Linked DNA regions of Pelodiscus sinensis. The protein of the gene in region 2 interacts with the protein of the main gene of each other region in a pairwise test. Links are inferred from orthologs where the notes say so. Each region holds a gene or a part of one and is shown on either strand. Other genes may lie near its edges.

The links.
Region 1: the proteins of MAPK9 (region 2) and EFHC2 interact in binary tests that used the Homo sapiens proteins (3 or more experiments, as listed by UniProt). The two-hybrid records come from large-scale screens. The link is inferred for Pelodiscus sinensis from reciprocal best matches to the Homo sapiens genes MAPK9 and EFHC2.
Region 3: the proteins of MAPK9 (region 2) and WDR62 interact in binary tests that used the Homo sapiens proteins (3 or more experiments, as listed by UniProt). The two-hybrid records come from large-scale screens. The link is inferred for Pelodiscus sinensis from reciprocal best matches to the Homo sapiens genes MAPK9 and WDR62.

Annotation. Positions count from the first base shown.
Region 1 is NC_134711.1:193,317,758-193,328,778, forward strand, and holds the start of EFHC2 (EF-hand domain-containing family member C2), read left to right. Parts: upstream 1-6,618; 5' UTR 6,619-6,749; coding exon 6,750-6,791; intron 6,792-11,021. UniProt on the Homo sapiens protein: Microtubule inner protein (MIP) part of the dynein-decorated doublet microtubules (DMTs) in cilia axoneme, which is required for motile cilia beating.
Region 2 is NC_134727.1:33,227,920-33,238,174, reverse strand, and holds the start of MAPK9 (mitogen-activated protein kinase 9), read left to right. Parts: upstream 1-5,042; 5' UTR 5,043-5,238; intron 5,239-5,302; exon of another isoform or gene 5,303-5,594; intron 5,595-10,255. UniProt on the Homo sapiens protein: Serine/threonine-protein kinase involved in various processes such as cell proliferation, differentiation, migration, transformation and programmed cell death.
Region 3 is NW_027465849.1:5,098,906-5,109,705, forward strand, and holds the start of WDR62 (WD repeat-containing protein 62), read left to right. Parts: upstream 1-6,397; 5' UTR 6,398-6,504; coding exon 6,505-6,609; intron 6,610-6,938; exon of another isoform or gene 6,939-7,295; intron 7,296-10,800. UniProt on the Homo sapiens protein: Required for cerebral cortical development. Plays a role in neuronal proliferation and migration.

The DNA.
Region 1 (11,021 bases), on a different chromosome or scaffold from region 2:
GTAGAAACTAGGTCAAATTACAAAGAATGAATATAAGCAAACAACTCAAGTATGCAGGGGCAAGATTACAAAGGTGAAGGCACAAAATGAGCTCAATCTAGCTAGAGACATAAAGGGTAACAAGAAGACATTCTACAAATACATTAGAAGCAAAAGGAAGATTAAGGACAGGGTAGGCCTATTGCTCAGTGAAGAGGGAGAAACAATAACAGGAAACTTAGAAATGGCAGAGATGCTTAATGACATCTTTGTTTTGTTTTGGGTGAAGATCGATGGTGATAGGATGCCTAACATAGTGAATGCTAGTGGAAATGGGGTAGTTTTAGAAGGTAAAATAAAAAAAGAACAAGTCAATAAATCACCTAGAAAAGTTAGATGCCTGCAAGTCACCAGGGCCTGAAGAAATGCATCCTAGAATACTCAAGGAGCAGATAGAGGAGGTATCTGAGCCTTTAGCTATCATCTTTGAAAAGTCATGGAAGTTGGGAGAGATTCCAGAAGACTGGAAAAGAGCAAATATAGTGCTCATCTATAAAAAAGGGAAACAAGAACAATCCAGGAAACTACAGAATTGTCAGTTTCACTTCTGTTCCAGAGAAGATAATGGAGCAAATAATTAAGGAATTAATCTGCAAACATCTGGAAGAAAATATGATGATCGGTAACAGTCGGGATGGATTTGTAAAGAACAAATAATGTCAACCCAATCCGATAACTTTCTTTGATAGGATATCAAGCCTTGTGGATAAGGGAGAAGTGGTGGATATGGTATACCTAGACTTTAATAAAGCATTTGATACGGTCTTGTATGATCTTTTTATCAATAAACTAGGGAAATACAAGCTAAATGGGACTACTATAAGGTGGGTGCATAACTGGCTGGATAACCATTCTCAGAGAGTAGTTAACAGCTCACAATTATGCTGGAAGGGCATAACAAGTAGAGTTGTGCAGGGGTCTGTTTTGGGATTGATTCTGTTCAATATCTTATCAACAATTTAGATGATGGCATAGAGAGTAAGATTATTAAGTTTGCAGATGATACCGAGCTCGGAGGATAGGGTCATAATTCAAAATGATCTGGACAAACTGGAGAAATGGTCTGAGGTAAATATGATGAAGTTTTACAAAGACAAATGCAAAGTACTCCACTTAGGAAGGAATAATCAGTTTCACACATATAGGCTAGTCTACACCACTTCCCTCTTCTGCAAAAGCCTATGCAAATGAAGCACGGATTGGCATATTACCACACATCATTTGCATAATTAATTAGGAGCCATTTTTGCATAAGAGGTTTTTCCACAAAAAGGCGCCATCTACATAGCGCCTTTTATGCAAAACCCCCCTCTTGCGCAAGAGCCATTCTTCCTAATATTTTCAGGTGAATGGCTCTTGCGCAAGAGAGGGTTTTTGTGTAAAAAAGTGCTGTGTAGACGCGCTTTTTTGCGCAAAAATGACTCCTAATTAATGATGCAAATGAAATGCAGCAATATGTTAATCCGTGCTTCATTTGCATAGGCTTTTGCGGAAGAGGGAAGCTGTGTAGATGTAGCCACAGAATGGGAAGTGACTGTCTAAGAAGTACTGCAGAAAGGAATGCAGGGATCAAAGTGGACCACAACTAAGTAGGAGTCAACAGTGTGACAACAGTGTTGTAAAACAAGCAAACATGATTCTGGGATGTATTAACAGGAGAGTTGTGAGTAAGGCACGAGAAGTCATTCTCCTGCTCTACTCTGCACTGATTAGGCCTCAGTTGGTGTGTTGTTTCCAGTTTTAGGCACCATATTTCAAGAAATCACAGAATCATAGAATCATAGAGCTGGAAAAGACCTTAGAAGGTCATCAAGTCCAGGCCCCTGCTCTCGGCAGGACCAATCCCAACTAAATCAACCTAGTCAGGGCTATGTCAAGCCGAGACTTAAACACCTCTAGGGATGGAGACTTCACTACTTCCCTAGGTAACCCATTCCAGTGCTTCACTACCCTCCTAGTGAAATAGTTTTTCCTAATATCCAACCTGGGCATCTCCCATCACAACTTGAGACCATTGCTCCTTGTTCTGCCATCTGTCACTACTGAGAACAGCCTTTCTCCATCCTCTTTGGAACCTCCCTTCAGGAAGTTGAAGGCTGCTATCAAGCCCCCCTCACTCTTCACTTCTGCAGACTAAACTGACCCAAATCCCTCAGCCTCTCCTCATAGGTCATATGCTCCAGCCCCTTAATAATTTTGGTTGCCCTCCCCTGGACCCTCTCCAATGCGTCCACATCCTTTTTGTAGTGGGGGGCCCAGAACTGGACACAATACTCCAGATGTGGCCTCACCAGAGCCGAATAAAGGGGAATAAATTAAACACTGGTTAAACACTGGAATAAATTACCCAGGGAGGTTGTGGAATCTCCATCACTGGAGATATTTAATGGCAGTTTGGATAGACATCTATCAGGGATGATCAAGACAATGCTTGGTCTTGCCATCAGGGCAGGGGACTGGACTTGACGATCACTCGAATTACCTTCCAGTTCTAGTATTCTATGAGTCTTTGAAAGTTTACATTTCTGCTTATTTGTTTTGGCTCTGATAGGGCTTTAATGATAGGAGTCCATGCTGATTGAAAAGTCACACTCACTTCTGTATTTTCACACCTTTTTATAATTGTCCCTAACTAATTTACATTAAATTTTGCAGTACTTTCTCAGCCCTTTCTGAGTTGAAAACTGAGGTATTGAGAAGTATTTTGCAAATGCAACAATATCATGTTATTAGCCTATAGCTTAATATAAATGTCCATAAGCAGTTGTTATGAAACAGCACTAGTCTATTTAATCTTTTTCTTTGTTTAGCTTATGTAGTGAGGTCACAACAGCAAAAAAAAGACTGGACAAAAAATTCTATTTTGCTCAGAAATTTAAAAAGTAGAAATAATTTGTCACCATGAATTAACAGTGTAATGTATTTGAAAGTAGAATTTTTTTTATTCCAGTGTTTAATCACTCTGCCTGGAAGGTACCTCGAGAGATCATCAAGTCCAGTCCCCTGCTCTCATGGCAGGACCAAGCATCGTGCCGATCCTAACTGACAGATGTCTATCCAAACTGCCCTTAAATATCTCCAATGATGGAGATTCCATAACCTTTCTAGGCAATTTATTCCAGTTCTCTGAGCCTATGTTTCACAGGGGCTTTCAAACAGGATTTAGGATGTTGGACGTCCAGAAGTGTAAAGAAACTTCTATAAATAAATCACAAAAAGAATATTAGTATAATGTAAGCATTCCAAGATGCTTTGTGTCAGTGTCCTTCAAGCCCTCTGTTTCAAATGAAAGCTACTGGAATTTAAAGTTTTGCTGCTTGAATATGCACTGTGTTTCCTAAGGGACTACAGTGAACCCTCGTTTATCGCGGTAGATAGGTTCCAAACCCGACCGCGATAGTTGAAAATCCGCGAAGTAGGGACATGTATATTTAACATGTATACAGTGAGCCCTCGCTACTTCGCGGTTCGACCATCGCGGATTCACGTATATACATAATGTAATGAAAAAAGTCCGCGAAGTCGTGAATCCGCGATAGTCGAACCGCGAAGTAGCGAGGGCTCACTGTATACAGATAAATAAAAGGTATTTATTGAAATGGATATAGAAGATATATGTATCTCATGGATGTCTTTAGAACTTTAGTCAGCATAGAAAGTGGTTAGGCATTTGAATATTGCAAGCGCTACATACACACAGCGAGCGACCTTTTTAAAATTTGCACAACTCTTTGAAAAACTTCTTTGAAACAAGTATCAGAGGGGTAGCCGTGTTAGTCTGAATCTGCAAAAGCGACGAGGAGTCCTGTGGCACCTTATAGACTAACTGAAGTGTAGGAGCATAAGCTTTCGTGGGCAAAGACCCACTTCGTCAGATGCATGTAGTGGAAATATCCAGAGGCAGGAATAAATATGCAGGCCAGGATCAGGCTGGAGATGATGAGGTGATCCAATCAAGGAGGATGAGGCCCACTTCTAGCAGCTGATCTGGAGGTGTGAATTCCAAGAGAATAGAAGCTGCTTTTGTAGTTAGCAAGCCATTCACAGTCTTTGTTTAATCCAGAGTTGATTGTGTCAAACTTAAAGATGAACTGTAGCTCAGCAGTTTCTCTTTGAAGTCTGGTCCTGAAGTTTTTTTGCTGCAGGATGGCTACTTTTAGATCTGCAATTGTGTGTCCAGGAAGATTGAAGTGTTCCCCTACAGGTTTTTGTATGTTGCCATTCCTAATATCAGATTTGTGTCCATTGATTCTTTTACGTAGGGACTGTCCTGTTTGGCCGATGTATATAGCAGTGGGGCATTGTTGGCACATGATGGCATATATTACGTTGGTGGATGTGCAGGAGAATGTACCAGTGACAGTATGGCATTCTGTAAACTGCGATACCCACACGAGGAAGTGAGGAGACAGATTGACAGAGCCAGACGTGTACCCAGAAGCCTCCTGCTACGGGACAAGCCCAAGAAAGAAACCAACAGAACACCACTGGCCATCACCTATAGTCCCCAGCTAAAACCTCTCCAACGCATCATTAGCGATCTTCAGCCCATCCTGGACAATGATCCCTCGCTCTCACAGGCCTTGGGAGGTAGGCCGGTCCTTGCCCACAGACAACCCGCCAAACTGAAGCATATTCTCACCAGCAACTACACACCGCACCATAATAACTCGAACTCAGGAACCAATCCTTGCAACAAACCTCGGTGCCAACTCTGCCCACATATATACACCAGCAACACCATCACAGGACCTAACCAGATCAGCCATACTGTCACTGGTACATTCTCCTGCACATCCACCAACGTAATATATGCCATCATGTGCCAACAATGCCCCACTGCTATATACATCGGCCAAACAGGACAGTCCCTACGTAAAAGAATCAATGGACACAAATCTGATATTAGGAATGGCAACATACAAAAACCTGTAGGGGAACACTTCAATCTTCCTGGACACACAATTGCAGATCTAAAAGTAGCCATCCTGCAGCAAAAAAACTTCAGGACCAGACTTCAAAGAGAAACTGCTGAGCTACAGTTCATCTTTAAGTTTGACACAATCAACTCTGGATTAAACAAAGACTGTGAATGGCTTGCTAACTACAAAAGCAGCTTCTATTCTCTTGGAATTCACACCTCCAGATCAGCTGCTAGAAGTGGGCCTCATCCTCCTTGATTGGATCACCTCATCATCTCCAGCCTGATCCTGGCCTGCATATTTATTCCTGCCTCTGGATATTTCCACTACATGCATCTGACGAAGTGGGTCTTTGCCCACGAAAGCTTATGCTCCTACACTTCAGTTAGTCTATAAGGTGCCACAGGACTCCTCGTCGCTTTCTTTGAAACAGGAGCTGGTGAGAAAACAGGTTATTTTCCCCAGGGAAAATTTCAATTTTTCTGCAAAAAGGTTTGAGTTACTTGGGTGCCTCATGTTTCCATTTTTCTCTTTAGGCTGGGCTCCCTAATCAGACAATATGGCCTGTGATGCATCACAGTCTTCTTCTCTCCTAGTGAAGAGACACTGCATTATAGGAATTTTATGATTGTGGTGCATCAAAGGAACTGAAATCTGGCTGAGGAGTCAGGTCAGGGCTATGTAGAATAAGGATATGAAACAACTGAACTACACTGCCTTTGAGGCACTGTGGGGGCATGTTAGAATAAAAGCATTTTTTTTGGCGAAAAGATGTCAGCTATTGGACAAAAAATAGGATCCGTTTCATTTTGGACTGTTCAGGTTTTCTTTTATTTAATTACAAATTGAAATCTGAAAAAAGTAAAAAAAAATCCAATTTTTTGTGAAAAATGGTTTTGAGGAAAGTTATTGACCATTCATATGTGAAACACAAGGACAGACAAGCCATTTAGCTGCTGCTTTTCTGGACTATGTTTTGGAAGGGCATCCAAAATGCCCCGAAGATAGTGTCTTATTCAAAGCTTAAACCTCCCATTGGACACTGTTAGCTTTGGTTTGTGCTCACAACTCTGCTCACCACTATTTACGGTGGGAACCCGAGTAAAACATCATCAGGAGCGTTTTTCTTTTTAATTGCAGTGATAACGTAGTTGAACGTGTTGACAGCATTTCCGTAGTGCCATGTTATTCTGGAAGGGCAAGGAATGGGCCTGGGGAGCAGAAAGTGACATTCGCGCGGAGCTAAGCGCCATGGTCGGTGCTGGGCACCATGCAAGAGCGAACAGAAACAGCCCGCTGCGGGTCGTGTTTTTGCACCTTCCGGGGGTGGAGGCACTTTTCTCCACAGCCACCAGGCCTGGACACCGAGCGCCCCTGAGAGGGGAAGCCAGACTGAAATGCCGCCCGGAGCCTCTGAATCCGGGACCTGGAGCTGGAGGAGCAGCGCCCGCCACCCGCCACGCACCGCGCCCGGCCAGTCCCTGGGAAAGCACCGCAGCCCAGCCCCGGGTCTGCTTCCACACGGGCGGGGTCTCCCGCAGGCGCACGTGAAGCGACCGGCCCGAGCCTCCAGGGGGCAGTCGAGAGCAGAGCCTTCCCCAGCCGGGCCACCAATCGCGGCCACGAGACCTCCTCCTGTGATGTCAGACGCAGGTCGCTAGGCAACAGAACCCCAAACAGCGCGTGGACGTTCCCTCTCCGCCTGGCAGCGCAGGGGGCGCGAGCGGCCGGGGTCCGGGCAGCAACACCAGCCCCGGGGCGGCGCCGGGCTCGAGAGCGGCACGAGCGATGGCGCTACCGCTCCTGCCCGGGAACTCCTTCAACCGCAGCGTGAGTGACAGCGGCAGCCCCGCCCCCCTGCCCATAGCACGCGCGCCCCTCGCTGCCTCTAGCCGCCACTGCCCCCCACAGTGCTGCCCCCTTGCAACGCTCTTCCCCCGGCCACCCTGCCTAGCCCCACCGGCAACCTTCCTGCACCCATCACGCTGCCTAGCCCCTCTCCTGCACCGCCTGCTCCTGTGCCCCCTTGCACTTAGCAATGCCTGCACCAGAGCCCCCACTCAGCCGCTTCACCTGTACCTAGCAGCCCCCACGTAGCTCCTTCTGTGCTCTTTACCCATCACACCTGCCCTTCACAGAATCCCTACTCCCGCTCTCCAGCATGCCTGGCACCTAGCACAAGTTCCTCTGTCTGCACCAGAGCCCCATCTGCATTGCTTCTGCCTTCTGGTACCCTCAAACACATTCTTGTAGCTCCTTCACCTGTCTCCTGGCACCTACCCCATAAATCCAAGCCCCCCCCAGATATCCTTTTTAATCACTCCCACCTACTCAAACACACACAGCTTCCCCTAGGGTATGTCTACACTACCCCCCTAGTTTGAACTAGGGTGGTTAATGTAGGCAACCAGAGTTGCAAATGAAGCCCAGGATTTGAATTTCCCGGGCTTCATTTGCATATTGCCAGGCGCCGCCATTTTTAAATGTCCGCTAGTTCGGACTCCGTGCGCGTGGCTACACGCGGCATGAACTAGGTAGTTCGGATTAGGCTTCCTATTCCGAACTACCAGTACACGTCGTTCCACGAGGCGTAACGGTAGTTCGGAATAGGAAGCCTAATCCGAACTACCTAGTCCGTGCCGCGTGTAGCCACGCGCACGGAGTCCGAACTAGCGGACATTTAAAAATGGCGGCGCCTGGCAATATGCAAATGAAGCCCGGGAAATTCAAATCTCAGGCTTCATTTGCAACTCTGGTTGCCTACATTAACCACCCTAGTTCGAACTAGGGGGGTAGTGTAGACATACCCCTAGTTCTCTTCTATTATATGCTCCCCCAGGAATCTTCCTTGCATACTACCTAAACTTCCTCTGATGCCTTTGTTTTCTCATATGTGGGGAAATAAGGATAATTATAGTTGGCTCCTCTGGTGAAAAGTGCTGTGAAAGAAAGAGCCAAGTGGTGTTGTTGCTCCCATGCAATGTACTTCCCAAGTGCACTCTAATGGACCCCAATTGTTGCCAAGTATTCCCTCACAACATACCCTTCTCTAGCATGATCATTTCTAATATGTCGAGTATCAGAGGGGTAGCCGTGTTAGTCTGAATCTGCAAAAGCGGTGATGAGTCCTGTGGCACCTTATAGACTAACCGAAGTGTTGGTCTATAATGCTGCTAATATGCTTGCTCAATATACTGTATACAAGTATAGCTCTTGATGGAACTCAAGATGTGATTGCTTCATACTGTCAGGTATACTTATCACATTCCTAGAAACCAATACATTTAAAATGAGTGTGCTTGTCCCATGAAAGAAAGGAGGGTAGGTCTGATTTTTAGAAGATTGTTCAAAATGTTAACTGCTGATGTCAGGCATTGATAGTGTTTGCATCTGATGAACTGTTACTATGAACATGGTCTAGTAGCAAGTGTAGATGAGATCAAAAGTAGCTTGTCCTTGTCTGTACTTGTAGGTCAACCATGTTTCAGCTGTACCTGCGGCTAATGCCCACTGTTAGGTATATGTTTTTTTTTGTTTATATGAGGCTTTGCTTCCAATACACTTACCTGCTCCGGCCTTCTCTGCAGTGGAGAATTATATATGTGATTAAAATATTAGTCTTGGCCCACCTGTAAGAGGTATACTACATTGTCCACAGTATCAATAATATTTGACTTGCACTTATCTATGCATCCACACACAAATGTGAAGCAAGCAGATTACCCTTATGGGTCAGTGATAGGAAGACTAATTGTCATGTTAGTTAATTGTTAATGCTGCTTCTGTTTGTGAATATTGTAATAATGCAAGCTATCATTGTCTAAGAAAAATTTTATTCAGACTGCTTACAACAAAAATATAAAGCATGCCTTTAAAGCATTTGTAGCAAATCTGAGAGGAGAGAGGCAACTTTCCCCTTGTGTATCAAAAAATCTCCAATATAGGGAAGGTAATATAAGGGTTCTTTCTTCTGCTTCCATTGAAGTCAAGGGAAAGACTCTCATTGAATTACTTGGTAGCAGGATTGAGCTCCACATTAGTTGTCACAAGCAGACTTAATTTAAATTCTGGAGTTTGCCACCTTCTTATTCCATATTTATTGAGCAAAATTTTGTTACATTTGTAAAATTTCTAATTTTGAGGGCATAAGTAAAAAATAAACATACTTAGCAATTAAGGAAGAACTGAGAAACTAACCAGTAATTTTTAGGACAGTTTGAACATTGGTTATTTAAATAATAAAGGAAAATGGAGACAAAAATACCATTTTTTAAAAATCTCAAATAAAAAGCAGGACACTTCAGGGATAAACAAAGTTAAGGACAATAATACGTCATTCAGAGCTGACAACATCATTATTTATATAAGTATTCATAGCTGTAAATATGGGAAAAGACAAGATTCTTACCATGAGCTCTAAAATAAAAACAAATAGAGTTTAAGCCGCCATCACTTTTTCTGTCCAGAAAGGATGGGGAAATTTAAACAATAAATCTGCTGAATATATTTTTGAATATCAGTAGGTAAATCCTTAGAAGTGAGTGTGCCAAAATGAAGTTCAAGTTAGGGATGTCAGCTGTTAATGAGTTAACTGTGTGATGCTTGCCAGTTAACTGGCAGCCTGCCTGGGCTGGAGCAGCCCCCTGCTCATATGGTGGTCTAGGGGCCCTGGGCTGGCCAGGCCCAATGCACCACGAGCGTGGGGAGCAGCCCCTGTCTTGTGGTGGCCCCAGGCAGGCTAGAGCAGCCCACTGCGCCATGGGCAGGGGGGCTGCTGCAGGCTGGACTGTTCCTGCCCTCTTCCCCCACAGGATCCCATTTAAGCTTAATCATAAAGTTTTAACAGATAAACTGATTACATGGGATTTTACATCCCTAGTTTAGGTTCAAAGGCTAAAGCGAACATTTAAACTACATTCCACTCAGTCATGCGGCTTCTTTCATCTATTTAGTAATCAAATTGCTCAATTGTACACTATACCTCCTTTTTAATAGAGGAACTCCTTTTAGCTTAATCAGTAGAGGTCTGTGTTTTGCTAGGGATTCTCTCACTTGCTGCTATTCAGTTCTGAACAAATTCTGAGAACCATGAAGGTTCTACTTGATTGCAGCTTGCATACAGTAGTTGGCTTCATATTTTAGAGGTATAGATAAGGATTTCATATATATGGGGTGTGTATATAATATTACGTATACAGGCAGTCCCCGAGTTACGCGGATCCGACTTACGTCGGATCCGCAGTTACGAACGGGGCCGTTCCTCTCCCTGGTCTCCAGCAGACCAGGGAGAGGAAGCAAAGCAGCGGAACACGTGGGCAGCAGACAGGGCTGTCCGCTGCCCACGTGCTCCGCGGTTTGGCTCTGCTTTGCTCTGCTTTGCCCCCCCCAAAATCGCCCTGGTCTGCAGACCAGGGGGACGGGGGGGGGGGGCAAAGCAGAGCCAAGCAGAGCCAAGCCGCGGAGCGCGCGGTCAGCTGTCAGCTGGCCGCGTCCTCTGCGGCTTGGCTCTGCTTTGCCCCCCCCCCCCCCTAGTCTGCAGACCAGGGGGACGGGGAGCAAAGCAGAGCAAAGCCACGGAGCCCGAGGGCAGCAGGACAGCCACGGCGCGTCTGGGCTGTCCCGCTGCCCCCGTGCTCCGTGGCTTTGCTCCGGACACCTGTGGTACAGCAGCTGGGGCGCTGCCAGTTGGTCCCGTAGCGCCGCTCTGGGCGCTACTGGACCAACCGGGCAGCACCGCAGCTGTTCTGCCCCAGGCGTCCTGATTCAGCCACTGCTGGTCAGATTCAGCAGCGGCTGAATCAGGACGCCTGGGGCAGAGCAGCTTGGGTGCTGCTGGGTTGGTCCAATAGCGCCGAGGAGCGGCGGCGCTACTGGACCAACCCAGCAGCACCCCAGCTGCTCTGCCCCAGGCGTCCCCAAGTCAGCCGCTGCTGAAACTGACCAGTGGCTGACTACAGGAAGCCCCTGCCCCGGGCTTCCTGGAATCAGCCGCTGATCAGTTTCAGCAGCAGCTGACTTGGGGATGCCTGGGGTTCTTAAGTTGAATCTGTATGTAAGTCA
Region 2 (10,255 bases):
CACTGTCTCATTCCTGGCACTGACTGAGCTGTGTCCGTTGTTGGGGCTATATATGCATAATGGTTCAGCAGAGTCTATTACTGTACATTTTTTCATATGAAGCAGGCATCACAAATCTCGAGAACACAGGGTGTGGTAAAATCCTTGATAGGATATCAAACCACACAGGAAAAACTGATCAGTTTTCATGCAGAAATTCTCAGTGTTTCTTCCAACGGCTTATCAAACACTTTTGGTTCAACCCCTTCATTCTGTACAGTTGGATAATTGCAATAATATATCAGCTGCTCAGCTTCTACTCCGAAGCATGTTAATATCAACTACAAAACCTGTCCTATGTAGTCTCAATGATAAAATCCAGAACTCCAGCTTTGAAGGATGACTTGACCTTCAGATACAGTGGCTCTTTAAAATGTACAATAGAATCCCCCCATACTGCACTACATTTTTAGTTAAGCTTTTAGCAAATATGAAAAATTAAGATTGTTTTGGTAATACAGAAAGCTATATCTAAAATTTAAAAATCCCCATCTTAAATTATGCATTTTCAAAAATTCTGCATTTGTACTTTTTATATTATGTAAACATAGTTGCGGGCTAACACAGAGGAGCTATTACAAACCTCAAGGGAATTTAACTATAAGAGTGAAGTGCTCTAAGTTCTCACAGCAGACCATTCAAGAATTACCTTAACTCAAGCTTTGAATGTGATTTTTTTTTTAATGGCTCATGCATGTACTTGTCAAGAATTTTTTGTTTGTATATACATACAAGATATTCCCTGCAGAGTTGCTTTTAAATAGAGATGTTTTAATACTTAACTGGATGGCTTGACAGTGCTACAATAGCTGCTTGTAGTAATTTCTGGTAAATAGTTCTGAAGCTCCCACAGTTTGTTTTACTTGTCAAAAGCCAGTACTACACCAAAAAAAGGTATAGTGAAAATCAGGCATGGAAGCCAATGGCATCTGCTGAACAGAATTTTTTGGCAGGTGATGGAAAGGGCTTCTTCTGTTTATTGAGCAGCTAGTTTTCTTGTATTGCCAAAAAGTGCAGTATTAAGGCAATTTGATAACTAGTCTAAAGCACGTTAATTCAGTAAAAAAAATTTTAAAATTACAGTGAGGGGAGACTAGACAGAGGTAGAAATGCTCATTGTGATGTTACACTCCATATCTTTATGCAAATAAGCTTATGATATGGATGACATAATTGAGAGAAGCAAAATGCATTTTGCTTCAGCTACCCCAGACTAACATGGCTACATTTCTATCACTCTTCATAATTGAGAGAGACCTTGAGATGGCTCAGATAAGGTATTGGAAAGGTTATGATTTACTGAATGTGACTATCCAACTTGTATACTTATATCATTTTTGTATCTGAAGTTACATAGTCAATATTTCTATTTGTATTTCAACTATGCTACAGAGAGTAACACCTACTGCTAACACTACAGGTAAAACAATGGAAAAGCCAGACAGGGCTGATGGCCCATCAGTGACAGCAATGGACTGTGAAAAGGCTTCAGAGGGCCCCTGTTAGTCTGTAAGGGTACGTCTACACTACAGTGTTATTTCGAAATATCTAATATTGAAATAGTTATTTCAAAATAAGATATTTCTAAATAACGCATCTACACACAAAATGCATTTCAACATAGCATTTGGCTATTTCGAAATAGCACGTCCACACTGAGCGGACGCTGAATCACATTTAAGGCCGGCTAGAACCAGGTCTGGCAGGGCATCAGGTCAGGAGTTACATTGTGTGGTTGCAAAATGCAGGACAATGTAGCACTTTAAAGACTAACAAGATGGTTTATTAGATGATGAGCTTTCGTGGGCCAGACCCACTTCCTCAGATCTCAGATTGTGTGGTTGCTGCCTGAGGCTATCCGAGGCCTGTGCTTAAAGGAACCCCTCCTGAACAGCAGATTCTCAGGTTTCCCTGCTTGCTTGCCTACCTCGATGAGGGACAGCAAAGCATTTTGTCTCTGCGTGCTCTAGTTGCCCTCACTCGGGACACCACAGCACTCTGCAACATGGAACCAGAGCTGCCCCTGGGCACTCTGGTGCTTCTCGTGGACACGTTGCTGCGAGCCTGACTGCACTTTCTGCAGGCTGCCATCCGGGAGGTCCATCGGGGGGTTGTCAGTATCCAGGAGGCCTTGCGGGAAAGCTTCCACCCTACGGGGCACTAAGAGCCTCCCTGGTCTGCCCCACTGAGGGCTTGTGCGTCATTCTTCCCTCATATCCTTCCACTTACCACTCCCTAACCCCCTTTCTTGATGTAAAATAAAATACATGTATTTTCATGAACACAAACTCTCTTTATTTAACAAAATGGAGGTGGGATGAAACTCTGGTGAGACTGGGGAAAGGAGGAGAGCGGATGGGAGAGGGGAGGGAGAAACCTGGGAGGAGGGAGCTGGAAGGAGGAAGCAAGGGGAAGAAGGGGGAGGGGAAGTTCAGGGTTGGGGAATCTCGCCGGACCAACTTGATTTTCATGCAAACCTACTCCTAGGTTCACATGTGGCCTTTGGTGGCCAGGCTGGCAGCTATCCTGCCATAGATGGCCGCGTTCCCCCATCTAGTGTGGAGATCATGGACGTTGGGGGCACCCCCCCAAACCTGAATAAGGTCCATGATCTCCGCACTGGATCAGGAAGGTGCCCGCCTTCTCCAGGCCCTGGCAAGCTCCTGGGAGCTGGCAGACTGCTCCTGGGGAGTGGTGGAGGACTGGCTGCCAGTGGCTTGCTGGCTCATGTTTTGGGGCCACTAGGTCAGGAGTAGTGACTGCTGGCTCTGGGCTGGCAGGCTTGGAGCTGGCACAGGCACTGTGGCCAGAGTCTACCTCTTTAAGGGCTCCGGGGAAGTGGGGAAGGGAGAGGAGTGTTCTTGGTTGAGGCCAGAGTGACCACCAGGGCACCCTGGGAAGGGCTGGAGGCCCCCTATTTTGAAATAAGTGTCTACACAGCACTTATTTCGAAATAGCAATTTCGAAATTGGCGTGACTCCTTGTGGAATGAGGTTTACCAATTTCGAAATAAGCCCTCCGCTATTTCAATTTAATTTCGAAATAGCGGTTGGCTTGCAGACACTAGGAAATTTATTTAGAAATAACAGCTGTTATTTCGAAATAACTTTGATGTGTAGACATACCCTAACTGAAAAAACATTAAGGTCCTGCAAGACTATTTGTTTTTTTAAGTTTTTTTGTGTGAAAAGACTTGGCCTTCCTGGGGACATTCCATACTGCCACTGACTCATGGATGCTGTGATCCTACGGCGTTAAGTGATCTGGTCACCTGTTACTAGCCTCCATCTTTGAGTGTTGGACTTTTCCACTTGGGAGATGGGGGAATGAAAGGATTTGTGCCGTATGGAAATCCTATAAGATGGAAGAGGAAAACAATCAAAGCCTTCAGTTTGCTTCTCCTCTGCCTCCACACCCAAAGAGATGCTTGAAAATAACAGGAAATAAAAGGACCGGAACAGGGTGGGAGAAGAATTGCCTGATTCAGGCTGGCAAGATACTTGGCCTGTAAAATAATCTACCTAAATAATATCTAGGGTGAGGCATTATTGTTTGTTAGCCAACTGACTTAAGCAGTTTGCATGCTTTGTATTTTCTTAGCAAAGAGAAGAGCAGATTGCTATCTGTTATAAACACTTTAGATCAATCTTTATGTAGTTAAACTTATTTCTTTACAATATATCCCAGTTTATGTAATTTCTAGTGGCAGTGGGGGAGAGAAATTTTGCATATCTTACTCCACATCAACAGAGGAGGCAGATTTTCATATAATGTTGGGCTTGCACTTTAAGGGAGGTGGCCACCTGCGTGCTGTGGCAAGTCCCTTAAACTGAGCCTTCCCACAGCTGGTATCAATGTCGGTATCATGCTGCAGTTGGGTGCAACCCCTGTGTGTGCGTGCTCTGAAGACGTTTAAGAGCCTGACACAAGGAGACAGGATTAAAGGATGCCCAGACTGGCAGAAAAGGCAAGCTCAGTGTTACCTCAGCCTACCAGGGGGTCCAGCCCATCACAAGCATTGAGTCACTTACCACCCATTGATGTAGATTGTGTTAAGGTTGTATTTTTTTAGTCAGTAGCAGTTTTACAAAGCAAGCAGTCTGAAGATTGAGGTGGGGAGGGAATGAGTACGGAAGAGCAGGCTTGTAATGTAGATTTTTGTGAGTTCGGTGGCTAAATATTTCCCCTCACTGGGCTTTTAATGCTCAGTCATCCTCTACTCTAAACACATACTGTGGCATTTTACACCAATGCTGTGGATTACAAGAGCTATTCATATGTTTAACAACTAACAGAGTGGGGGAGGCTGTGCTACCTACAGTGACCTCCTTCCCCCTTTTCCAGTGGTGGCTATGCGGTAAGGAAATGTGGCAGCCATGCATTGCCGAATCACTGGAATGGTTCGGTAGCAGCAGAGTGGTCACCTCCTATCACAGTCTCCTACAATTTTGATGGAAAGCAGACTCATTGTGATGCAATGAGCGCCCAGCTCCATCCTGACAGGAAGGGATGGCATCAGCATGTGGCAACATGAGGGTCTTCTTATGACGTCAGGGCTAGGCACGACAGCCGTTTGCTGCGAGGGACTGACCTCGCCACCCTGGGGACAGTAGAGTTGCCAGCTGGTTTCAATAAAAATACCGGACACACTTGACATTACATCACAATCTACACTGCATCTTATTTAGAAAATACCGGACATTTCTATTTTCTCAATCTGTTGCGGGAACAGAAAGCTCAAATACTGGACTGTCTGGTACAAAACCAGACCCCTGGCAACCCTACCTGACACTGGTGCTTTGCCCTGAAGCGTTGACTGGCATTGTGGTGTGAGATGACATCACACTTATGACATCACAACAACGGGAACAGGCTAACACAGATTGGTGACGTCATCACCACGAGGAGCTTGCCGTTGCCACCCAGAAAACGATCCCTCAGACCCTCCCGCCTCTACTGCAGTCCCCCCACCCTCCTTATGTAGTGGCTAGCGCGGCCCGCCCCCACGGCCTGATTGGCTGCGGCCGGCGAGCGGGGAGCAGTGGTTGGGCGGCGTGGCTGTCTGTTAGCGGGTCCGGACCTGGCGCGGCCCGTGAGGGGGCTGTGACGAGAGAGGCCATTGTGGCGAGGGAGGCCCGGGCAGGCGGAGAAGCGAAGCGGCGACCGCAGGACCCGCGCGCCGAGCCTCAGGCGGAGACGGTGAGGGGGGAGGGGCGGTGCGGGGGAGAAGGGGAACCAACGGCCGGGCGGTTTCCGTTGGCGGGCGGAACGGGGAGGGGGGAGGAGTCTCCAGGCCTTGGGGGAGGGGGCGGCGGCTCGCGCGAGACCCTCGCCCGCCACTGCGCGCGGGTGCCGCGAGCCCGCCTCCCCTCAGGGCGAAGCTGTCGCCGGAAACTTTCCCTGCCGCCCCTCCTCCCGCGCTCTGGGGCCCGGCCTGGCCCTGGAGCTCCCCCGCAGCGGGCCGGGGCGCTGTATTTTCGCCAGGCCCCCTCCCCCCGCTGCCGCAGTCTGTCAGAGCCGCGAGCTCCTGCCCGGCTCGCATCCTCCCGCCTCAGGTGAGCGCCCGCCCGCCCGGCCGGGAGGTGCCGCCGGAGGGAGGGCGGCGCGCGAGTAGCCGAACTGCAGGGCGAGCTGTCGCCGCTGCGGGTGGGATCGCTCCGTGGGAAAGTCCTTGCGACCCGGCTCCGCCGGAGAACACGAGCAGCCGTGATGGACAGGCCCGCTACGACTCGGCTCTTGTGGGTCTAGTGCAGGGCGGGGTTCTCTAAACCCCGCTACCCTCTTCTGGCGACAAAAATGACACCCCCCCCCCCGGCCGGTGTTCCCTCTCAGCAATCCCATCCACGTGTGGAATAATGTTATGAGCACGGAAGCATGTGCAAATGTGCACCACCATAGAAACAAAACATAGCTGTGGGCGCTCTGCTGGGCTGCAGTTGAATTTCTCCTGAGGCGCCACACCAGTGCCCATATTACACTGCCTGCAACCCCATTAAATGTCTTATGGGGTCTGCGGTTAACTGTTAGTTTAGCCTGGGGATGTACTAAGCCCACAGTGGGTTCTGCAGTAGGAGCTGGCAAACTCAGTTCTGGCATGTGCTGGTCCCAGCAGCTGGTCCTGCTGTCAAGCTGCGGCTCTGCATTTAAATTTGGAGGCAGCAGGCAGAAATGCAGAGCTGCAGCAGAGTGGGGTCAGCTGCCAAGACCCGGCATGTGCCTGGACTGAACCTGCCTGCAGGCTCCAAGCTCAAATGTAAAGCCGTGGTGGGGGTAGGAGGGAGGGGCAGCCAATTCCCCAGGGGAGCAGCATTTTACTGGTTACATTAATCAATAAGTATTGTTTTATCAGTTAACTGGTTAAACTCTTAACATCTCTTAGTATATGGCAGGGCTATGTCTAGATTGCATCCCTTTTTTGGAAGAGGAATGCAAATTAGACGTATCGCAATTGCTAATGAAGCGGGGATTTAAATCTCCCCTGCTTCATTAGCATAAAAATGGCTGCCGCTTTTTTTCGGCATGGAGCTTTGCCGGAAAAAAGCGCCATCCTAGACGCAGATCTTTCGGAAGATAAAGCCTTTTCCGAAAGATCCCTTATCCCTCTTAAAATAAGGAATAAGGGATCTTTCGGAAAAGGCTTTATTTTCCGAAAGATCTGCGTCTAGGATGGCGCTTTTTTTCCGGCAAAGCTCTGTGCCAAAAAAAAAGCGGCAGCCATTTTTATGCTAATGAAGTGGGGGAGATTTAAATCCCTGCTTCATTAGCAATTGGGATACGTCTAATTTGCATCCCTTTTCCGTAAAAGGGATGCAATCTAGACGTAGACCAGGAGTTGTAGCAGTTTATGCTGTCTTAGTTTACTGATTTCCAAGAATTAATTCACTGTCAATATTATTAGTTTGAAAACTGTGTATTCTTAAAAGCCTAATGCTCCAGGGTGTTTGGAGCCATAGCTGGGCTCGCAACTGGGACACCAGAAGTAGGACCAAAAGCTGGGAGTTGGCCAATAGCAGGGGCTGGAATTGCGGCCAGGAGCAAGGGACAGAAGCAGGCCTAGGGTCGTGGCCAGAAGTGGGGCCCTGGGCAGGCCATAACTGCCTGGGAGCAGGGGTACAATTGGGAATAGGGCAGGGGTGGGCCCCAGCTTGCCTGGATCTGGCCCCTGAGGCTTAGGGCTCCCCCCTCCAGCACTGGGGAGCCTGTGCTGGCACCCCAATCTCTCGCTCCCCCACGGAGCTGGAGCACACTGAATCTACTAGCCTAGGCCCCCCAGGCCCCGGTGTGTGAGGGGAATGTGGAACGTGTTTTTCTCCTTAGTTAAGGGCCACATCAGTGAGGATTAGTCTTTTGGTTTTTTTTGTTTCTCACTTGCGTGCGGGCCCCCAACTGTTATTTCTGTGGGTCAGTGGCCCCTGACCCCAAAAAGATTCCCCATCCCTGGAATAGAACCTGAGCCATGGCTCGGAGCCGATACCAGGGCTGGACCTGGGCTTGAATTAGGGTTGTTAAATTTAGATTAATTAACTAATTGAATAGTCAGTGGGATTTCCATTGACTATTCGATTAGTCCAGGGGTCTCCAAACTACGGCCCGCGGGCCGGATGCGGCCCGCGAGGCCCTCTCATCCGGCCCGTGGAGACCTTTTTGTCTACGGAAAAAAAATTACGTGAAGAACAATTTGAGAACAAACTTGTCCGATGATAATCTCAGGTCACTGTTGATGTTAGGGACAACAAATCTAAAGCCAGAAATGTCTGCTATTTTGGCATCCAGGAAACAATTTCACCATTCACACTAATACAGGTGTTCATGTGTAGTGTATCAATGTGTTATTAAATAATAACTGAATAAAATAATATTAAATAATTAAAACAACATCCATGTTTTGATTGTTTTTTATTTGGACCTCAAGTGTGTAGTCGGCCCCCGAACTGCTGTTTGATAGTTAATGCGGCCCTCGGGCTGAAAAGTTTGGAGACCCCTGGATTAGTCTATAAGGGCGACTCCGCTTTTGAACAGTAGCAAGAGCCCTACTGGGGTTCTTGCTACAGTTCAAAGGCGGAAGCACCCCAGGGAGTGCAGGGCCAGCAGGAGAATGGCCCTGCAGTGCCTGAGCCTTTGAAATGTACAAGAGCCCCAGCGGGCTCTAGTACATTTCAAAAGGAGGCCCCTCTGAAGCTCTTGTACATTTCAAAAGCAGAATCACAGCAAAAGCGTTTCCACTGTCCCTCTACCTCCTCTACCCCCCTGCAAAGACTGTGCTAGGGGAACCGGCTTTTAAGCCGGCTCCCCCCCAACTCCTGCTCCCCCCCTTTGCTTCCTCTCTCTGGTAGAGGCAGCGAGGGGGGAGGGAGAGCGACTAGTCACATCACTAGTTGACTGTCTGACAAGTAAGTGCATATCAGATGGTCAGCTAATCAACTAGTCGTTTCCATCCCTAGCCTGAATAGATCTGGGAGCAGAGTGGGGCTAGATAGTGCTCCCTCCCTGACTTCTCTTCCCCTGGTGCCTCTGAATGTTTCTTCACACCACTGCGGGGTGTGAGCACCCCACAGGTTGGGGACCTCTGATCTAACAGTAAGGTACAGGCTGAGTTTAAGTGCATTTATGCTAGAAAAATTGTTAGTCAAAAACAAAGTGACATTGAGTCTTTCCACATCTTGTCTCAGTGATTTCATCTTTTAATGTATAAATTTGGCAGATTAGATCTTTTTATGCTACCTATCAGGCTTGGAATCAGTCTGGGATTTAAAAATCAAGTTATGATCCTTGAGATTCTTTGCCCTTCATTGCCAGCAATAAAGAGTCTTCAGCAAAAACATAATCAGTTTTGTAGAAGTATATTTCCCCAGGGTTGTATTTAGAGTGCAGCACTAATAGTAGTAACTTGGTTTGGCTATGAAGTAAGCAGATGTGACTTGAAGATACACAGAGAATGAATCTGCTTAGCAAAAACACGCCACTTTTGCTTAGGCACTCTACTGACTACAATTACACTTTAAATAGTGTATATTTGCTAAAATGTATTCACAAGTTTAGTGCATCTGAAGTGCTGTATTATGTTGTGCTTCTGGAACTTTTCTCATGGTTGCAACAACTTGTTGGAAAACAAAATAGCTTTCAGATTGAGCCACCCAGTGTATGGAAGTTAGGGATGTAAATGTTTAACCAGTAAACACTTACTAGTTCTTCTTAACTAGTAGAGGCTGGAGCAGCTCCCTGCCTGCCATGGGCAGGGGGCTGCTCCAGACCTGTGGGGCCCACTACAGGCAGGGACTGCTCCTGTAGGGAGCTGGCTTCACTGCAACCCCTGCCAGCCCCGCTCCTGGTGAGCAGGCTTTGCTGCACCCTCTGCTGGCCCTGCTCCCAGGGAGCCGGCTTCGTTGTGGACTCTGCAGCATAAAGTTTATATATAAGCTTTATACTGCAGAGCCTGCAGTATGTGTAACTGAGTAACCACTAGGATTTTTAACGATTACACAGTGACATTTTTAAACCTGCTTTTTTTTCTTACTACCATGTGTATATTTTTATTATCACTTTTGTATAATCCTTTTAATTTGGCAGTACTTAATATTGATCTAAGAGACTTCAGTTTATGAAGATATTGGTGAGATTATCATCAATGTCCATCTTTCATAGCATGAATACCTTGGTTTTCTGTTTCCATATTGGTCATATTTGTTGCACTAAATAAAATTAGAATACCAGTCTTTGAAAACTCCTGTTTTTGAAATTGAATGTGATGCTAAATTCCAGTGAAGTTCTTTAACAGTGTTGGGCCTACTGATATGGATCTACAGTCAGAATGCTGAGAGTGTGCTGTGCATACCCATGACATATAATAGGTCAAATAAAGTATTGTCAGTGAAGAAACTAGTATCAAGAAATTTAGTTGACTGACAAACCTGGTGGTCTTGAATCCTAATCAAAACACTAATCAATTTCCAATAGTTAGGAATTCAGAGAACCTTTATCCTGGCTTCTAAATTAGCTTGATTTTAGGATAGTTTTAATGTGCAGTAAAATTATGTCAGAATGCTTTTTTGAGTTTGCAGCTTCTGCCTTTGTTTAATGCTTTGTTTTTAATGCTGTCAGAAAAAGGTTCTTAATTCAAATTAGCTAACTCAATGTAAAATCTTGGTAGTAGACAAGGCAGGTGGTATTTTTCACGAGTTAGCAGGTTGACTTGAATTCTGTGAGTGAGCCTAATCTC
Region 3 (10,800 bases), on a different chromosome or scaffold from region 2:
CTGCCAAGTAGCCATTGCTGTCAGAGCTCAACTTGCCAAATGTATTACAAAAATTAAGTGATGGCAGCTGAAACAGGTGGGGAAAGGTCAGGCAATACAGTATATTACGAATTTCTTGATGCTGTCCTTTGTATCTAGCTATATCAATTATTAGACCCTTAGAGCTGCCTTAACTGCTGGAGCCACTAATGCAAACAGTACAGGTGTAACCTAACCTGTAGGATGATAAATACAGACCAGCAATTCAGCTTTATTGTGTTCCCTCTGCCTTGCCTTTACTTCCTACTATGCTTAACTGCTAACTTTTTATATTTCAAGTCTAGCTTGGGCACAAGCATTAGGTCTACAGACAAATTTGATGATTATTATTATATTTGCTTTCTAGGCTTCTCTTTCCACCAAGAGTTTACTTGAGGTCCTTGAGATGTGACAAATACATAAAGGATTTTTTGTTTGTTTGTTTAAAGAGCCCTCCCCCAAGGGTTAAAAACTCAGTCCTATAGGGTACTGGGCTTTTTGCAGAGCACACCAAGTGATGAGCCCTCCAGGGGTAAAACAGCAGAACCATTTCCTTCTGCCCAAACAGCCCCATGTTTAGAAGAGAACATGGCACTCAGCATGAAAAGAGGAAGAGGAATTAAGTGCTCTAAGCTAAGCCAGTCAGAGGTAAATAGAAGATGTGCTCCTGAGACTGTTCTCTAGAAGCAGAAAACTTCCCAGGTCTAGCAAGAATAAATTCAGGTTATTTATTTAAGTTTACTGATGACTGATGATTTATTTAATGTAGGCTGAATTTATTGCACACATAGGGACTGTATGTTTCCATTTCCTCTCTTTTTCTCCAAGGACTGTGTTCTCTAGCTTCCCACTCAGGAGTTAAGCAAAATAAATAAATACATTAAATAAAACAGCATGGCCCCTTTCAGAGTGCATGCAGAGTCAGAATAGAGATAGGAACAGTGGAGAAGTTGAGCACTAAGACCCAGAGAAGACATTGTTTTCCCCTTGGTCTTGAGGCTTTTTGCCTGTGGCCATTTTGTTTTCTTGATCAAGCCAGAACACAGCTTCCCTGTGGAACCAGGTAAGCAGGGAGTCTGGGGGAGGGAGACTGGAGGTCTTGGGGGGAGGCTGGAGATTGGGCCCAGTTATCCAGTGTGTCGTAGGGTTGCCTGGTGTCTGGTATTTTTGCCTCCTGTCTGGGAAAAAAAAATCAGAAAATATCAGACATTTTAAGTGTCTGGTATTTTCTGATTTTTTTTTTTACTGGACAGGAGGCAAAAATACCGGACTGTCTGGATCAATACCAGACACCTGGCAACCCTAGCTCTGTGTGCCCCTATTTCCCGTTCCACTGGTAAAGGTGACCACCTTTGTTGGACAGAAATAAGGGAAAACCACATGGAAAAGTAAGGGATTACTTAATTTTAAGGGGTATTTTAAAGAAACGCTGTTTCCCTTAGCAAATCGTAAGAACAGCCATACTGGGTCAGACCAAGGGTCCACCTAGCCCTGTGTCCTGTCTTCTGATAGTGGCTCATGCCAAATGCCCCAAGAGAATGAACAGAAACAGGAGATCATCAAGTGATCCCTCTCCGGTCATCCATTTCCAGGATCTGACAAACAGAGGCTGGGGCACCATTCCTACTCAATTTGAGTAGTTCTTTTTTGAACCCTGTAAAAATCCTGGTCTTCACAACATCCTTTTGCAAGGATTCCACAGGTTGACACTGCACTGTGTGAAAAATAACTTAAAATCATAAAATCCTAGGGCTGGCAGAGACCTCAGAAGTCATCGAGTCCAACCCCCTGCCCAAAGCATGACCAACCCCAACTAAATCATCCCAGTCAGGGCTTTGTCAAGTCAGGATTTAAAAACCTCTTGGGGTGGAGGTTCCACCACCTCCCTAGGTAACCTATTCCAAAACTTCTCTTTCTTTGTTTTAAATCTGTCACCTATTCATTTTATTTGATGACCCCTAGTTCTTATGTTATGGGAAGAAATATATAACTTTTCCTTATTAACTTTCTCATTCCTTATTCACTTTCTCCATACCTATCATGATTTTATAGACCTCTATCATATCCCCTCCTCTTTAGTCTCCTCTTTTCTAAGATGAAATGTCCCAGTCTTTTTAATCTCTCTTCATATGGCACCTGTTCCAAACATTTTTGCCCTTTTCTGAACCTTTTCAATGCCAATATCTATTTTTTGAGATGAGGCAACCACATCGGTACCCAATATTTAAGTTGTGGTCGTATCATGGATTATATAGAGGCAACAAGATATTCTCTGCTCTTATTCGCTATTCCTTTTTTAATGATTCCTAACATTCTGTTGCCTTTTTTTGACTGCCGCTGCACATGGAGTCGATATTTTTCAGAGAACTATCCACAATGGCTCCAAGATCTCTCTCTTGAGTAGTTATAACTCAATTAGTCCCTACACATTTTGCATGTGTAGTTGGGATTATTTTCCAATGTGCATTACTTTGCATTTATCAACATTGAAATTCATTTGCCATTTTGTCACCCAATCACTTAATTTGGTGAGATCTTTTTGAAGCTCTTCACTGTTTGCTTTGGTCTTAACTATCTTGAGCAGTTTAGTATCATCTGCAAATTTTGCCACCTCACTGTTTACCCCTTTCTCCAGATAATTTATAAATAGTTTAAATAGGATTGGTCCCAGGACAGACCCTTAGGGGACACTAGTTACCTTTCTCCATTCTGAAAATTGACCATTTATTCCTATCCTTTGTTCCTGTTCTTTAACCAGTTATCAGTCCGTGGGAGGACCTTCTCTCTTATCTCATGACAACTAACCTTTCTTAAGAGCCTTTGGTGAGGGACCTTGTCAAAGGCTTTCTGGAAATCTAAGTACACTAGATCCACTGGATTCCCCTTGTCCACATGTTTGTTCCCCCCTTCAAAGAACTCTAGTACATTAATAAGACATGATCTCATTTTACAGAATCCATGTTGACTTTTCCCCAACAAATTATGTTAATCGGTATTGATGTCAGACTTACCAGTCTGTAATTGCCAGGATCATCTCTAGAGCCCTTTATAAATATTGGTGGCACGTTAGCTATCTTCCAGTCATTAGGTACAGAAGCTGATTTACAGGATTGGTTACAAACCACAGTGAATAGTTCCACAATTTCACATTTGAGTTCTTTGGAGAAAACCAAATGGGCAAAATTTGGGGTTGGAGGTGGGGGTGGAATGGACATAATCTGATAGCACAGCCACAGTGTCCTGTGCCACCAGTGGTACTGAAACTAGAGGTGTTGGGGTGCAGCAGCATCCCCTGGCTTGAAGTGATTTCCTTCAGAGAATCATAGAGTTGGAGGATCAGGAGATCAAGTCCAACCACCCACTAAAAGCAGGATCAATCGCAATTAAATTATCCCAGCCAGGGCTTTGTCAAACTAGGATATAAAAATCTCTAGGGATGGAGATTCCAACACTTCCCAAGGAAACCCATTCCAGCACTTCACCACCCTAGTGAAATAGTTTTTCTGAATATCCAACCTAGACCTCCCCCACTGCAAGTTGAGACCATTGCTCCTTGTGTTATCTGCCACCACTGAGAACAGTCTCTCCCCATCCTCTTTGGAACCCCTCCTTTCAGGAAATTGAAGGATGCTATCAAATCTTCCTTCATTCTTCTCTTCTGTAGACAACCCAAATCTGTCAGCCTCTCCTCATTAAGGTCATTAATAAATATGTTGAAAAAAAACCCAGCCCCAGAACCAACTCTTGGGGCACTCCACTCAATACCAACCACCACTGATCACTACCAATTAAGCCCAACAATCTGGCCAGCTTTCTATCCACCTTATAGTCCAATTCTCCAATCCATACTTCCTTAACTTGCTGGCAAGAATACTTTGGGAGACTGTATTAAAAGCTTTGCCAAAGTCAAGGTATCTCATGTCCACTACTTTCCCCATACTCACAGAGTCAGTTACCACATGACAGAAGGCAATCAGGTTGGCCAGGCATGACTTGACATTTGTGAATCCATGTTGACTGTTCTTATCACTGTCTCCTCTTCTAAGTACATCAAAATTGATTTCTTTAGGATCCCTGCCATTATTTTTCTAGGACCTGAGGTGAGGCTGACCTGTCTGTAGTTCCATGGGTTCTCCTTCTTCCCTTTTTTAAAGACAGGCACTGCATTTGCCTTTTTCCAATTGTCTGGAACCTCCCCTGATCACCATGAGGTTTCAAAGATAATGGCTGATGTTTCTGCAATTACATCTGCCAACTCCCTCAGTATCCTCAGATGTATTAGATCCGGCCCTTTGGATTTGAGTGTGTCCCACTTTTCTAAATAGTTCTAAACCTGTTCTTTCTCCACTGAGGGCTGCCAACTTCCTCTCCATACTGTCCAGTACAGTAGGTTGGGAGCTGACATTGTCTGTGAAGACAGCAGCAAAATAGCATCAAGTACTTGAGCTTTTCCCACATCATCTGTCACTAAGTGACTGCTCTCATTCAGTAAGGGTCCCACACCTTTCCTGATCACCTTCATATTGCTAAGATGTTTTTAGAAGCCTTTCACACCCCTTGCTAGCTGCAATTCCAATTGTGCTTTGGTTTTCCTGATTACACCCCCTGTATGCTCAAGCAAATCATCTGTCCATGTTTCCACTTCTTGTAAGCTTCCATTTTGTGTTAACGCCTGATAAAGATTTCACTGTTAAGCTAAGCTGGTTGCTTACCATATTTGCTTTTCTTACTGTGCATTGGGATCGTTTGTTCTTGCACCTTCAATAAGGCTTTTTAAAAATGCAGCTAGCTCTCCTGGGCTCCTTTCTCCCTTATGTTAGCATCCCAGGGGATTCTGCCCATCAGTTCCCTGAGGGAGTCAAACTCTGCTTTTCTGAAGTCCAGAGTCTGTATTTTGCTGCTCTCTTTTCTTCCTTTGTTCAGGATCCTGAATTCAATCATCTCATGATCATTGCTTCCCAGGTCATCTACTTCCCCTACTAATTCCTTTCCGTTTGTGAGTAGCAGATCAAACTGAGCATGGCCCCTGGTTGGTTCCGTCAACGCTTGTACCAGGAAGTTATCCCCAACATTCTCCAAAAACTTCCTGGTACAAGTGCTGGAGGAATCAACAATGGGTTAAAAAACTCATTTACAGGGTTTGCCGTTTTGTTCAATGGCATTCAGTACACCTACTATAAAAATATTCCATTGCCTCTGAGCACCACAGCAATTGTCTGTTGCTCAAACAATGGTAATACGGGACTTCATCTTTGTTCATTTTCTCAATTTGGAATTTGGCATGTTGACAATATGCTGTTTATCTGCTTTCTGTCTGGGAGGTAAGTTCTATCTGAAGTGAGATTCAAAAGACTGGGACTTTTCAACTTAGAAAAGAGATGACTAAAAAGGGATATGACAGAGGAGTATGAAATTGGGAGTCGTGGGGAGAAAGTGAATAAGGAAATGTTATTAATTCCTTCACAAACACAAGAACCAGGAGATTTCAATAGGCAGTAGACTTAAAACAAAAAGAAGTACTACTTCAGCCAATGGCACCCATTGCCAGGTGATGTAAGAAGGCAGAAATTATAATGGGTTTTAAAAAAACCTCTAGATAAGTTCCTGGGAGATATAAGACCATCTTGGCTAATAGCCATTTGCTGGGCCTATTTTTAAGTTGCTTAACTGGGAAAGAGGCAGGTGGAAATAGCAGGCACAAAGTTCCTTCCAGGGGAATAGAAATGGGGGACCTTGTTGAGGAAGCAAGGGAGAAGGCAAGGTTCACAGAGCTTTCAATAGAGATGCAAGGAATTTTTTAGGATGTGCAGTAAGTTCAGTGTATACAAGCTATGAAGCATGTTGTGACCCTTTCAGTTATGTTAAATCTTTTCCTTGTGGGGTCTGAAGTTATCCAACAAGTCCCTCCTGGCACAGAAAGATCATGGAGTTCAGTGGGAGTCTGTTTATTCAGAGAGCTTGAACCGTTAGGTGCTAGTTTTCTCTTCACAAACTAATGGTTTAATTGCTTGTAACTAGGGTTAAATGTATTTAGTTTCAAATAATTATCGCATTCCATTGAGGGGGCTGGGATTCGAACCCAGGACCTAGAGGTACCTGCTGTGTGTTAGATCCTAACAGAACCTCCCTGGTGGAGATGAGGGCGGGATTGTACGGTAGCTTCGCCACCATTGGCTGAACTTGAAAATGATTGACTTCACTCGCACCCTTCAACTTTTGCGTCTGCCGTCTTCCATAAAAGGCGGGATTTAAGGCAGCGCCGCCACTATTGGCTAAGGGAGGGATGAATAGCATACGCATCACCCAGTGGGATGTAGGGGGCGGGATTTGATGGAAGATCCACCCCTATTGGATAGCGGAGATATTTGACGTGGGCGGCCACCAATGGGACCGAGGAGCTGGGATTCCGCGCGCAGTTCGGAGCGGTTGCGGAGGGTAGAGACGTCCCAGCGGCGGGACACCTGAACGGGGGAGGGGTCCGCAGCCATGGCGGGGGCCGGCTCCGGCTTCTACGCCCGGGGCGGGGGCGCCGACTCGCCGCCGCTCTTCAGCCTGAGGAGGAGATCGAGGCACCAGGGGCCGGAGGAGGCGGTGAGTTGTCGGGGGAGGCTGAGGCGATAGTGGGCGGGGCTTGGTGATAAAGGGGCGGGGCCAGGAGGAGGGACGAGCAAGCTGCATAGGGGGCGGGGCTTGGAGCGAGATGAAGGGATGGGGTGGGCGGATGCAAAGGAGGCGGGGCTTGGACAATTGGGGGCGGGGCTTGGGAGGTGGAGAGGGACTGAGACCAGGGCAAGGAGTGGGACTTAAGGGGCGACATGGGGCGGGTCTGAGAACTTTTGGGGCTGAGTGGGTGGCTGACTTAAGCAAGGGGGGTGTCTTGGGGGGAGAGAGGTGGGAGGGGGCTATGACTTGAGATCTTCCTGTGCGTGTCTCTCCCAGCCCCCTTTGGATGTAGAATGCAAATCCTGCCCCTGGGCAAGGACAGGGGGCTTGGTGGGTCTCACGGTCTTTGGGGAATGGGTATGTGGCTCTGTGCGTGTTTGAGGATGGGGATTAGCAGGTCTCAGTGGGAGCAGGGGGTCTGCGTGGGAAGAGTTACAAGTTCCTAAGAGCCCCTGGCTGCTTCAGGAGCCTGAGTGGTTACACAGTTTGTCATCCCGTTTGACCTCTGCGTTTGCTTGTTGCCCTCATGGGCTTTCTCTTCACTGTACGCAATTCCCTCTCTCTCCCTTGGCTAAATAATTAAGTGAATCTAGAAATCCTTGAGGAGACACATCGTGAGTTGTTCTTTATTTTGACAAAGTGAGCCCTTGGTGTGTTTTTTGTCTGGGGGTAAATAACCTGTTTTCCTATCTTGACTATGCTTTTGCCTTGAGGTAGCTCAGGTGTTATCATGAGATTAAAAACTCATACCTTTAAAAGCAGTGAAGACCAAGCTATTCCCTCCAGCTCTGGTTGACCCACAAACTAAGATCCTGAAGTAAAAACTACAGAGTCTTGTCTCCACTATTGTTTTCCAGGGAGTTAGCTGTCTTGATGTACACACATCATTTTATACTTAAGTTACTGTCCTATCTTCTGATTAGTCTGTTTTTCTTGTTTATAGCTCATTCAGGATTCCATGTTCCAGTGCAGTGAAACAGCAGGAATTGTTAATGTCTAAAAATGGATGATATTTTGAAAATCATGGAAACTGATTTTTACAAAGCCTACTTTTAAAAAAGTCTTGTGACCACATCCCTTCAAAAGTAGCAGATTGGAATCCTGAATGAACAAAACATTTGAACAAAACATTTAAGTTACCAATGTCTCCATTCACATTTCTGTTTTTCCTTTCAGAGAGATTGTATCCACATCTAAGTCTTTGCAGGGAGTTGCAGGGTCTCCCTGCTGTGCCATGGATTTCGTTCTGTGACCTTAGACAAGTTACTTATTCCATTTCTATGCTGTAGTGCAGGGCTACTCAACATGTGTCCCATTTGTTTGCGGCCCGCGGAGCAGTTTGGTTTTACACGAGGCTCAACACGCGGCATGCGGGTGGGATCATTTGGACATGGCCTCCACAATGGAGAGGCGTCTCCCAGGTGGGGTGACCATTCAAAAACGCAAGCGGAAAGGCTGGCTGGAACAGACGGGTACAAGGTGTCGGCGTTTCTAGCCCCCAAGGAGGAGGTCCCGGGAGTGCCGGGGCACTGTGGGCAGTGGTGGCTGCTTAGTGTTGTGGGTAGAGAGCTGCTGACCTGACTCACAGTGGCCACGTTTGGGTCTGGTGCTGCAGCTTGATTTTTGTATTCATGCCCGTCAGTGTGAAAGAAGCTATTTGCATATATATTTGCATATATATGCAACCACACTTAAGTTGCGGCCCTTGGCATGTGCTGTGAGTATTATTGTGGGCTCCCCCGCCGGGGCTTCCAAAGTTGAGTAGCCCTGCTGTAGTGGCACAACGATGGGGCTGCAGCTGCGCAGTTTTAACACTATAGTGTAAATGCTTCCTCCATTCAGGGATAGGGTTTTCCTGTCAATTTTAGTTAATCCACGTTTCTGAGAAGTAATGGCGATTGATAACAGAAACTTCACAGAATTCTTCCAAGCTATCTGTATTTACACTGGTGATTAGGTTGACGTAACTGTAGAGCTCAGGGCAGGAGATTTTTCACTGCTTTGAGTATGTCTACACTTGGTCAAGAAAACTTGATCAACAAAACTTTTTTTGTTCACCGGTGATTTTAACCCTCTTCTGAACAAAAGTTTTGCCGAGGCAAGTGAAAGTGTGAACACCTGCTTTGTTGACAGTGGTGCCCTGCTGTTGACAAAGCAAAACCCCTTCATTGGTGGTGGAAGTATTTTGCTGACAAAAGTGCACATTTGCACATGCAGACTTTGGCTATGTCTATACTGCCAAGTTTTGTTAATACATTTTATGTCGACAAAACAAAAATAGCCAAAAGGTGTTCGCACTTGCTCCCTCTGTCAACTGATCATGTCCACCCTGGGGGCCAGAGGTGACTGATGATGGGGATGGAGGGTGTGCCGGCCACTCTTCCTCCCCCACCTGGAAAAGGGCTGGGTTACCCCTCTTCTGCCCCAGGCTCCACCCCTACTCTTCTCCACTTGCTCCGCTCCTCCCTTCCTCCTCCCCCAGACAAGGTGGTCCAGGGGACTAGTGGGGCCACATGGTGTCAGTGGCAGGATTCCATGCTGCCCTCCCCCTGCACTCACAGCAGCAGCGGGGAAGGTGCAGCAAGTGTGTGGGGCTGCTGGCTCCTGGTGCCGGCCCCGCTGAGTGTTGGTGGTGGGGGGACAGGAGCGGATCCCACTTACACAAGTAACATGTTAAACATAAGGTTTAACCGGTTAACTGACTTAACCAGGATTTTACATCCCTACTGGTTGAAGCCAGTTCTGTCGAACAACAAACTGTAGAGTCTACACTGGCTCCTTGTCAACAATAAAAGAAAGGGGAAGGGGGGAAAATAGTCTCTCATAGGAGTGGAAATTGTGTGTGTCAGAAACTGGGAGATTCTCCCAACAAAATTTGCATAGCAGCATGTATCCTTTCATGGTTTTGTCATGAAAAGGCAGTTTATGTCGACAAAACTTGATAGATACTTACTTTGTAGCAAAATGGGCAAATGGGAGCTGTGAAGATTTTGCTGGAAGTTGGGACAGTGCATGAAGTTTCCTCCCTTTTCTCCCCTGGGTGCACGGCGCGGAGAGGCACATGGCCTCAGCAGCTGGCCATTTTGAGCCACTTGGGGCTGGGGCAAGCAGGGAGCCTGCCTAGAGTCCCACCGGGCTGCTGGCCAGGAGCCGCCTAGTGAGTGCCACCCAGCCAGAACTTGTATCTGGCATTCAAGCTCCTCCTGTACCACAGTTCCCTGCCCCAGGTCACATCTCCCTCCCAAACCCTGCATCCCCTTCTGCATCCCTCCTCCAGGCTAGAAACCTCTTCGCCATCCATATGCCATTTCTGACCCTGTAGCCTCTGCTGCACCCCAATCTCCTGTTCCAGGTCATAACTCAAACCCTCTGCATCCCTCCTACACCCCTCTGCCAGGTCAGAATCCTCTTCTGTACCCATACCCCTTCCCAGACCCTGCACCCTAATCCCCTCCCTCAGGTCACCATCCCTTCCTTCACCCAAACTACCTCTGAGACCCCCAAGCCCTCTCCTTCTGCACCCAAATCCCTTACCCTGAGCTTCCTTCTGCACCCAATCTTCGTCCCAGACTCCACACTCCCTTCATAGAAAGTTGTAGCCCTTGAACGCTTTCTAAAATATTGGAATCCCCGCCCCATCAAAAATTATTGCCCACCCCTGCCTTAGGCTTTCTGGCTCAGATCCTCAAAGGTTCTCAATAGTACTCAAGCATTGAAATACCTTTGAGAAGCTGGGCCTCAGTTCCCCATCTATAAAATGGGGCTACTGCCTACCTCACCGGAGTGTAGAGGATAAATGCTTTAAAGATAGAGAAGTGTTCAGATACTGTGGGAGTGGTATGGCCCGATAAGTACCTACACTGACACTTATATTGTAATAGCTAGCTTGAACAGGAATGTGGTAAAAACCCACTCCTGTGACCAACATAGCTAGGGTCTCCCCTCCCCCTCCGTGTAGGCACAGCCAGGCTGAAAGAAGAGTACAACATCCATCTGGGGGTGGTACTTTTTCCACATAGGAAGAAAAGTCTTTTATGTCACTGGTAGGTTGCATCTACACTTGGGGACTGTGCCAATAGAGACTAGTATACACATAGCCTAAGATACTTATTTTGATCT